2 linked regions of the Coturnix japonica genome follow. The protein of the gene in region 1 interacts with the protein of each later gene in a biochemical or structural test. Links are inferred from orthologs where the notes say so. Each region holds a gene or a part of one and is shown on either strand. Other genes may lie near its edges.

Evidence for each region.
Region 2: the proteins of NOTCH1 (region 1) and NUMB form a complex in vitro, tested with the Homo sapiens proteins (2 studies listed by BioGRID). The link is inferred for Coturnix japonica from reciprocal best matches to the Homo sapiens genes NOTCH1 and NUMB.

What each region holds. Positions count from the first base shown.
Region 1 is NC_029532.1:6,324,998-6,328,800, forward strand, and holds part of NOTCH1 (neurogenic locus notch homolog protein 1), read left to right. Parts: intron 1-253; coding exon 254-446; intron 447-532; coding exon 533-678; intron 679-916; coding exon 917-1,030; intron 1,031-1,795; coding exon 1,796-1,915; intron 1,916-2,016; coding exon 2,017-2,169; intron 2,170-2,504; coding exon 2,505-2,733; intron 2,734-2,855; coding exon 2,856-3,057; intron 3,058-3,156; coding exon 3,157-3,310; intron 3,311-3,437; coding exon 3,438-3,622; intron 3,623-3,761; coding exon 3,762-3,803. UniProt on the Homo sapiens protein: Functions as a receptor for membrane-bound ligands Jagged-1 (JAG1), Jagged-2 (JAG2) and Delta-1 (DLL1) to regulate cell-fate determination.
Region 2 is NC_029520.1:23,486,675-23,491,126, forward strand, and holds the start of NUMB (protein numb homolog), read left to right. Parts: upstream 1-1,638; 5' UTR 1,639-1,737; intron 1,738-2,379; exon of another isoform or gene 2,380-2,491; intron 2,492-2,629; exon of another isoform or gene 2,630-2,650; intron 2,651-2,935; exon of another isoform or gene 2,936-3,063; intron 3,064-4,452. UniProt on the Homo sapiens protein: Regulates clathrin-mediated receptor endocytosis. Plays a role in the process of neurogenesis.

The sequences.
Region 1 (3,803 bases):
CCTCCTGAACCACAGGAGCCCACAGCAAGGCCCCCTCCTGACTGCATTGATTTCCCCTCCCAATTTCACTGAATTAAGCCAGGAGGGCAGTGCAGCAGTGTGAACTCTCCTTACCCCAGAGGCGGGCCTGGCACACGTGTGTGCCTAGAGATCTGAGCTTGCAGTATCTGAAGGACTCTACGTGTCCCCAGGAGGCCATGCACCCTTAGTGTCCCTGCTAGAACTGACACTTTGCTGCTCACCTCTTCCCCAGGGCGCATGTGCAACATCAACATCGATGAGTGTGCCAGCAACCCATGCCACAACGGGGGCACGTGCAAGGATGGCATCAACGGCTTCACCTGCATCTGCCCCGAGGGCTTCCACGACCCCAAGTGCCTGTCTGAAGTGAATGAGTGCAACAGCAACCCCTGCATCCACGGGAGGTGCCACGACGGGCTGAACGGGTAGGCTGGGGCACAGCACTGCTTGCACCAAAGCACGGTCAGGTGGCACCAAAGCCTCTGCTTTATCCTCTTGTTTTTCCCCAAAGTTACCGCTGTGACTGTGACCCGGGCTGGAGCGGGACAAATTGCGACATCAACAATAATGAGTGTGAATCCAACCCCTGCATGAATGGTGGCACCTGCAAGGATATGACCAGCGGTTACATCTGTACCTGCAGGGAGGGGTTCAGCGGTAAGGATGTGGCTGAGGACACTGCCCTGTGCCGGGGGCTGGGTGGGAGCTCCAGAAGGATTTCGCCATTGAGCAGAGGTGTCACTGGAGGCACGATGGAGATTCCTACTTCAGGAGGGAGTTGAGGACCTTTGCTAGTCTGTGGTCCCATGGCTTCAGCTGACAGCAGGAGGTTCTCTATGCGTCTGACTCCGCCCCACCCTGTTTTTAAAGCTCTGTTTCCTTTTTTCTAACCCAGGACCCAACTGCCAGACCAATATCAATGAATGTGCCTCCAACCCCTGCCTGAACCAAGGCACGTGCATCGACGACGTGGCCGGCTACACCTGCAACTGTCTCCTGCCCTACACAGGTGAGGGGGCAGGAGCCCCTCAGCCCTCCCATAAGGCTGCAGACAGGTCCCTCTGCTCCCAGGTCTTCCCCTGTGCTACAGCACAGCTGGAGGAAACTGAGAGGCTCACTGAGGAACAGCTGGTGTCTTCCTCCACTGGAGAGGGCAGAGGCACTGGGAACCCACCCCACTGCAATAGGGGCCTTGTTGGTTCTCCCACCGTGGTGCCCAGGGTTGGAAAAAGCAGTTTGAGGCTGCGGGGCCGGGCAATTCTGCTGAGCTGATTCCTGTTTGCCATCCTCTCACTTCCGCTCGCACAGAGCAGCAGCCAGAGCACAATAGCAGGAAGCCATGAGCTGTTTCCTGCCTTCGGCAGTGGCCATAGAAACCCCTGGGGGGGAGGGATGAGGATAGGGCAGGAGCGGAGGGGAAGGCTCTGGAAAATAGCAAAGGGCAGTTCAGGAGATACTGGCTGACAGGGAAGATAAGGGTTAGGAGGGAACGTGTCCCTTGACTGGATGTAAACAGGAAAAGCAACGGAGAGGGAGGGGGGAAAAGACACCCTGAGCAGCACTTCCCGTCCAGAGGAAATGTGCAGCCATTTAACGAGGCCCAGATTGCAGGAGTTTAAAGATTTGTGGGGCCAGGGGTCATGGAGATGGAGGAGAGGGCTGTGGATTAGATGGGCAGCCCAGGCCCTGCAGGAAGCAGGCTGAGGGCAGGTGGAGGCTGCGTAGTCACCACTGTCCCTTGGGAGGTGGTCAGTGGGCACCTGTCCCTGTGTAGGAGCCACCTGTGAGGACGTACTGGCCCCCTGTGCTGGCGGCCCCTGCAAGAATGGAGGCGAGTGCCGGGAGTCGGAGGACTACAAGAGGTTCTCATGCAGCTGCCCACCCGGCTGGCAAGGTGAGCCTGCTCTGCCAAGTGGGTCTGGGGCACAGCAACCAGCCCTGGTGCTTCTGCCAGTGCCCCCCAGCTCACGTGGTTCCCATCCCGCTGTCCCGCAGGTCAGACGTGTGAGATTGACATCAATGAGTGTGTGAAGAGCCCCTGCCGCAATGGGGCCACGTGCCAGAACACCAACGGGAGCTACCGCTGCTTGTGCCGGGTGGGCTTCGCAGGCCGCAACTGTGACACCGACATTGATGACTGCCAGCCCAGTAAGAACCAGGGGCACCTGGGGCTGTGTGGGGTCTCTAGGGATGGATCAGCCTCCCCGTGCTCAGAAAGCTGTGTCTCTGTGTGGGTCCAGGCCTGTTGGGCTTTGGGAATGTCCCAGCCCCATCCCTGTGAGGCTGCGTCAATCTAGGCCAGGTGGTGGCTGGCAGGAAGGAGGCTGGGGGGGACGGTGACGTGCAGGCAGTGAGCAAGTGTGTCCCATGTGCCTTGTGCTTTCCCAGCTGGGGCTGGGCTGGCCTCTGTCCCATCCCTCTGTGTGTGGGATAACACCAGGGCTGGACCCATTGCACCTAATGCATGTGTGCCCCATTTCCAGATCCATGCCACAATGGTGGCTCCTGCTCGGATGGCATTGGCACGTTCTTCTGTGAGTGCCTGGCTGGCTTCCGTGGGCTCAAGTGTGAGGAGGACATCAATGAGTGTGCCAGCAACCCCTGCAAGAACGGGGCCAACTGCACTGACTGTGTCAACAGCTACACCTGCACCTGCCCCTCTGGCTTCAGTGGCATCCATTGTGAGAACAACACGCCGGACTGCACTGAGAGGTACTGCCAGTGTGGGATTGGGGTCCCTGCATGGGTTTGGAGGGGTTTCGGGGCTGGCATCCAGTACCAAGAGTGTCAGCCCTTGGGGGTGACTCATGAGGATGTGGTGTTTGTGCTCCCAGCTCCTGCTTCAATGGGGGGACCTGCGTGGATGGCATCAATACCTTCACTTGCCTCTGTCCATCCGGCTTCACGGGCAGCTACTGTGAGCACAACATCAACGAGTGTGACTCCAAGCCCTGCCTGAACGGGGGCACGTGTCAGGACAGCTACGGGACGTACAAGTGCACCTGTCCCCAGGGATACACTGGGCTCAACTGCCAGGTAGTGAGAAGATTCCAGGGGTCCCCGTATGCAGGGATGGGGCTTCATCCTACAGAAGCTGTTCTGGGCCTGATCTCCCCCCTTGCTTTCCCTGCACAGAACTTGGTGCGCTGGTGTGACTCCTCACCCTGCAAAAATGGGGGCAAGTGCTGGCAAACCAACAATCTGTACCGCTGCGAGTGCAACAGCGGCTGGACTGGGCTCTACTGCGATGTCCCCAGTGTCTCCTGCGAGGTGGCTGCAAAGCAGCAAGGTACATCCCTGCCATCATTCCCTGTGCACGGCCTGGGGTTCCCCAGGTCTCCCAAGGATTAATGTCACTGTGTTGGGATGAGCTGTTTCTCTGGGTGTCACTGAGATCTTGCTGCTCTCCCTGGCAGGTATCGACGTCGCTCATCTTTGCAGGAATTCAGGGCTGTGTGTGGACAGTGGCAACACTCACTTCTGCCGCTGCCAGGCCGGCTACACCGGCAGCTACTGCGAGGAGCAGGTGGATGAGTGCTCCCCAAACCCCTGCCAGAACGGAGCCACCTGCACGGATTACCTTGGGGGCTACTCCTGTGAGGTGAGAGCTGCTCTCGTGTTGGGCTCTTTCTGAGGGTAGTGGTAACTCAGGTGGATTGGGAATAGATCAGGTGTTTGTATGTCCTGTGCACCGTGCAGCAGCTGGGTGAAGGTCTCTGACAGCTCTCCTCTCCTCACAGTGCGTGGCTGGTTATCATGGAGTTAATTGCTCAGAGGAGATC
Region 2 (4,452 bases), on another chromosome or scaffold:
TTTTACCTCTGTTGTCAAAAAGGTGGAATTCCTGTGGGGTGAGTGCAGTTATAGCAAGGTAAAAATGCTTATGTTGTAGTACTTATACTGGTATGGCTTGTTCCTAGAAGGGGTAGTGTTACAGTGTGATTAGAGAAGGGAGATTTAATCGCCAACATTGTTTTAGGTAGCCAATAGGAAGGAATGATGTTAAGCCTCTGGGTATCTGCGCTGAGGACATGGAGTTTGTATTATCATGAGCGCGTGTGTAATATACTCTCAGCTCCTTAGGGGATAGCAGACTATTCTGCTGTCTCAGTGAGACCAGAAAGGATCTCGTTTAAAATGGTACCGCTATCAGGAGCACATGGGCACAGCCAGCTCCATTATCCAGCATATTACCCACAGAATGCTCTTCTCTTAAAAGGTGGGGAAGGGGCAGTAGGGCTGGATATCTTTGATGTGCTATGATGTCTCTTCCATTTCTTTGTTACTAAAAAAAGAATAAAGCACCCTGAAGCCCTGCTTCCAATATGAGGCCTCAGAGAACTAATTTTCATTGCAACTCCGTGCATGAAGACCAACTGTACAGGGGGAGACCCACAGGTCAGTGTAGCAAATGTGACGTTTGCTGTGTTGGGTGCTCAGCTGGTTCTGTTAAGGTGGCTTCTAGGGTCATCTTCCTTTCCCAGCAAAGCCACCCCTTTCCCTCTGGTCACCAATGACTATATGAGGAGTTGGGTAGATGCAAATAGCTGAGTGGACAAGTAATATTGCAATGAATTAAATTCAATCTCTAATAAATATTTGTAAAAGCTACATACAGCTGAGGCATAGACAGGAACGTCAGTTACAATAGGCTGTCTTATCCTTCTCTTTACCTGTCCTCACGTAATTCTCAGTTAAGAGCAGAGTGTCTTTATAATACAAAGATGCTTAGAATTTGCTTAGAAATTGAAGTGTAATGCGCCATATTTCATCAAAAACGTTGTCACGGGCCCAGAGGTAGCAAAAATTGTAAAGAGTTAACCTAAAGCCATGGGGAATGCAACGTATTAAGAGCTAGGCCAGGTCAGAAATGATTCCAGCTTTTGTAACTGCACGAGAGATGTTAGGGCTGGTAGAAATGTCTGCCTGGTCATTCTGGGACACTGGTGAAACATCACTGTGTTGTGCTGCTGTCTGAGAGCAGCACTCTGCAAGTATCAGAGGCAGCAGTAAGAAGGAGAGCTGCTATCTGCTCTGGTTTTGCTTTCTGAGCAGAGTGACGTGAGATGTAAGAATAAATATGTGTTTTTTCTCCTGTTTTATTCTCAAACATGTGGTGACTTGGGGGGACAGTGTCAGTCTGAAACTCAGAGTTTGTGTCATCCTCCAGCTTCTGTCCCAGCACCTCCAGTGTAAATGATTTTTGCACACCATGTTTTGAAATGAGCACCGATTCCAGTTCCCTTATGTCAGTTCACGTTATAGCCTGTATGCTTTGTCATTTTCTTTGCTTGATTCAGGAACAAAGAGGAGCAAGGGGTACTGGTGCATGCAGGGAGGAGATAGAGAGCTAATGATACAGAGTAACCTTACGTAATCTTTCCATTTCAGTTTCCTGAGGTGTTGTGTTTGTTGGTTTGTTTTTTATTTATTTTTACTTATTTACTTGGCAGCGGAATGCTCCAGGACCTCTTTCAGCTTGTGTTTTGGATCAAGTAGCTGCTCAAATGCCCGGTGAGAGGAGACAGCGGCTGGGAACAGGCAGCCCAGGTAAAATCCTCATCAGAGGCACGCCTGTGCTCCTTGGCACTGGGGGAGGAGGCCAGGGGACAACATTTGGGGCCCTAAGAGCGGCCCGCTCACACTGTAGCCCAGCCTCCAGCTGACGGGAGGTCTGTGGAGAAACCGGCACCTTTTGTAGCAGCCCTCCCTCCTGCACAGCTCCCCGCTGACATCTGCCCGCAGGGTGACCGCTTTTGTACGGAGGGAAGAAAGCCGGCGGCACGGCAAAACCCGCGGCTGTTCTATGGAAGGCAGGGCCCCATGGTCTCCAGGCCCCGACTCCGGGTTATGGAGCAGACTCCCGCACTGCCCCCCACCTCGGCCCGGCCCAAACCCGCCCGGCCCCACGCACCGCAGCCGCCCCCCGCCCCATGGCGGCCTAACGCCGAGCGGGGAGGCGGGCCCGGAGCCGCAGCTGGCACCTCCGTCGTCCTATCGCTGCTCTCCCTTTGCACCGCTTCACCCAATCAGGAACGGCAGAGCGGAGCGGGGGCGCCAAAGCCCCTGAGTGAATAAAACACTCGGGGCCCGTGGGCGGAGCGGGGCGGGGCCGGCGCCGTGACGGGAAGCGCCGCGCGGGCAGCCCGGCAATGAGGGACGGGACGGGCGGCCAATGGGCGGCCGGGGTGGGCGTGGCGGGCGGCGGGGACCGGAGCCGCTGTGTGGAGGGGGGAGCGGCGGCGCTGCTCAGTGGCGACGGGCGGCTCAGGAGGCGCCGGAGGGAGGCGGCTGCGGCCGGCAGGTGAGCGCCTCCGGGCCGCGGGGCGGGGTGAGGCCGGGCCGGAGCCGCGGCGGGCGAGGGGCCGCGGGCGGGGCCCCTGGGGGGAGGTTGGATTACGGGCGCGGGGCGGCGGAGCCCGAGGGGATCGGTGGGGGCCGCGGGCGGCAGCGCCCCGGGGAAGTACGTGAGGGGCCGAGGGAGGCGGCGACGCCCTGCGGCGTCAGCGCTGGGCAGGGGGCGGCGGGCCGGGACCGGGGTGGGGCGCCCAGCGCGGCGCAGGTGGAGCCGGGGAGGGCGGCCGCGAGGGCCCGGCGGCGGGTGGGGAGACCCCGGAGTCCCCGGCCTCGCCGAGCGGTCCCCGGCGCTTCCTGCTCCGCCGCCGCCGGCTGCACGAGCCCTACGCCGGGCCCCGCGTCTGCGCGAGGGTCCCCGGTGCCTCCCGACCCGCTACGCTTTGTAGCGGCCCCGGTGCGGGACGAGCAGCCCTCGGCCCCGGCCCGGCGGGGTGCCCTCACCGTGGGGGAATCCTGCGGGGCCGAGGCGCCCGGCGCTCGGTTCGATGCTCGGTGGGAGCTGTTAGAGCGGCCCCCGAGGTGAGGATCGTGTCTTCCCACCTGGGAGCGCGGCTCTCGGCTTCGCCTTCCTGCGTGGAGCAGCTGCACAATGGGAGCTGTTATCGGGCAGAAGGCGGCGGGGATGGGCGAGCAACAGCGTGCGGCTGGGGCCGGAGGGAGCGGCGGGCGGACACGGCCCAGCTTCGTTTTCGGGAGGGTTAAGCACGGCTTCTGTTTGCAATGCGCTTCACTCATTTCATTTCATTGCACCGATGGAAGCGAGCCGGCCTGGCGAGCGACGTGGTACATCCCTCAGAGGAGAGCCCCTGCTTCGCAGCAGCCCGGCTCTGAAGCTCCCTCAGCCCGGTGGATTTATGTAACCTGCTCATTAGTGCTCCGTGAAGTGATAAGGGAGCTCTTGCTCGGATTCCTATTCAATGCGTGTGTTAATGCGTTATCGAGGGTCTTGTCAATGCTGCTCTATCAGCCGTCTGCATTGGGAGACGCTTGTAACCACCACAGCGTCCGGCTGTCATGTTGGTCGTGTTGGTTTTGTGGTTTTCATTCTTGGCTTTCTTGCCTCTCCAGCTGGGGTCCGGTGTGGGGGGGTGAGACAGAAGGCACAGTCATTCCCTTTGGCTGGAGTACTACTCCAGCTATGGCTTGGAGAAAAAGTGTAAATACTGAAATGGATTTCTGACTCATCACTTCTATTTGACTTATTGATCCATGGTTACTGCTAACGTGCTCTCTACGATTATGCAGAAGTTAATAGTTACCATAGAGCAGTGGTATTGTTTTTCTGCTTGTTAGTGTGTTTTCCATTTCTTCATCTCTTGGCAATTCTCTGTGGAAATGCTGCTTTTTTTTTTTTTTCTTCCTAGCAAAAATCTCATGGAAGGGATACAAAAAATAATGTGAGCAAAGTCCAAAAGAACAAATGTGAGATGTGTTCGTCCTTGCCCATGATTCTGAAGTTGTTTTGATAGCCTGGGTAATGCGGCGCTGAACTGTTTCATCTGTAGCTGAGGAAGGTGTTGGTTTTAAGGCTCAGTGAAAACTCTGATGTGTACAGCTCCAAACATAACACATCAAAGAACTTCTCTTCCTTTCTAAAGCCTAAAGAAGAAACACAATTCAGATAAAACATTTAAATCCTTATTAGCTGACAACTTATTCTTCAGCCTGGGAATGACTTCTCTGCACTTATTACTGCTCTCGAATGCATGGAAGATGAAGGTGCATGTAAACAAGGCAGAGCAGACACATTTATCTACTTATTTTGGTGTTGTAAATCCCTGTGGCATTGCTCTGGTAGCTGACAGCATTATGTGTTGAGGAAGAAGAAAAACAATCCAAGAAGCCACGCTGGGCTCTCAGAACTCACGAGACTCCCAGCATTGCATTTCATAGCATGGTTTAGCTGCT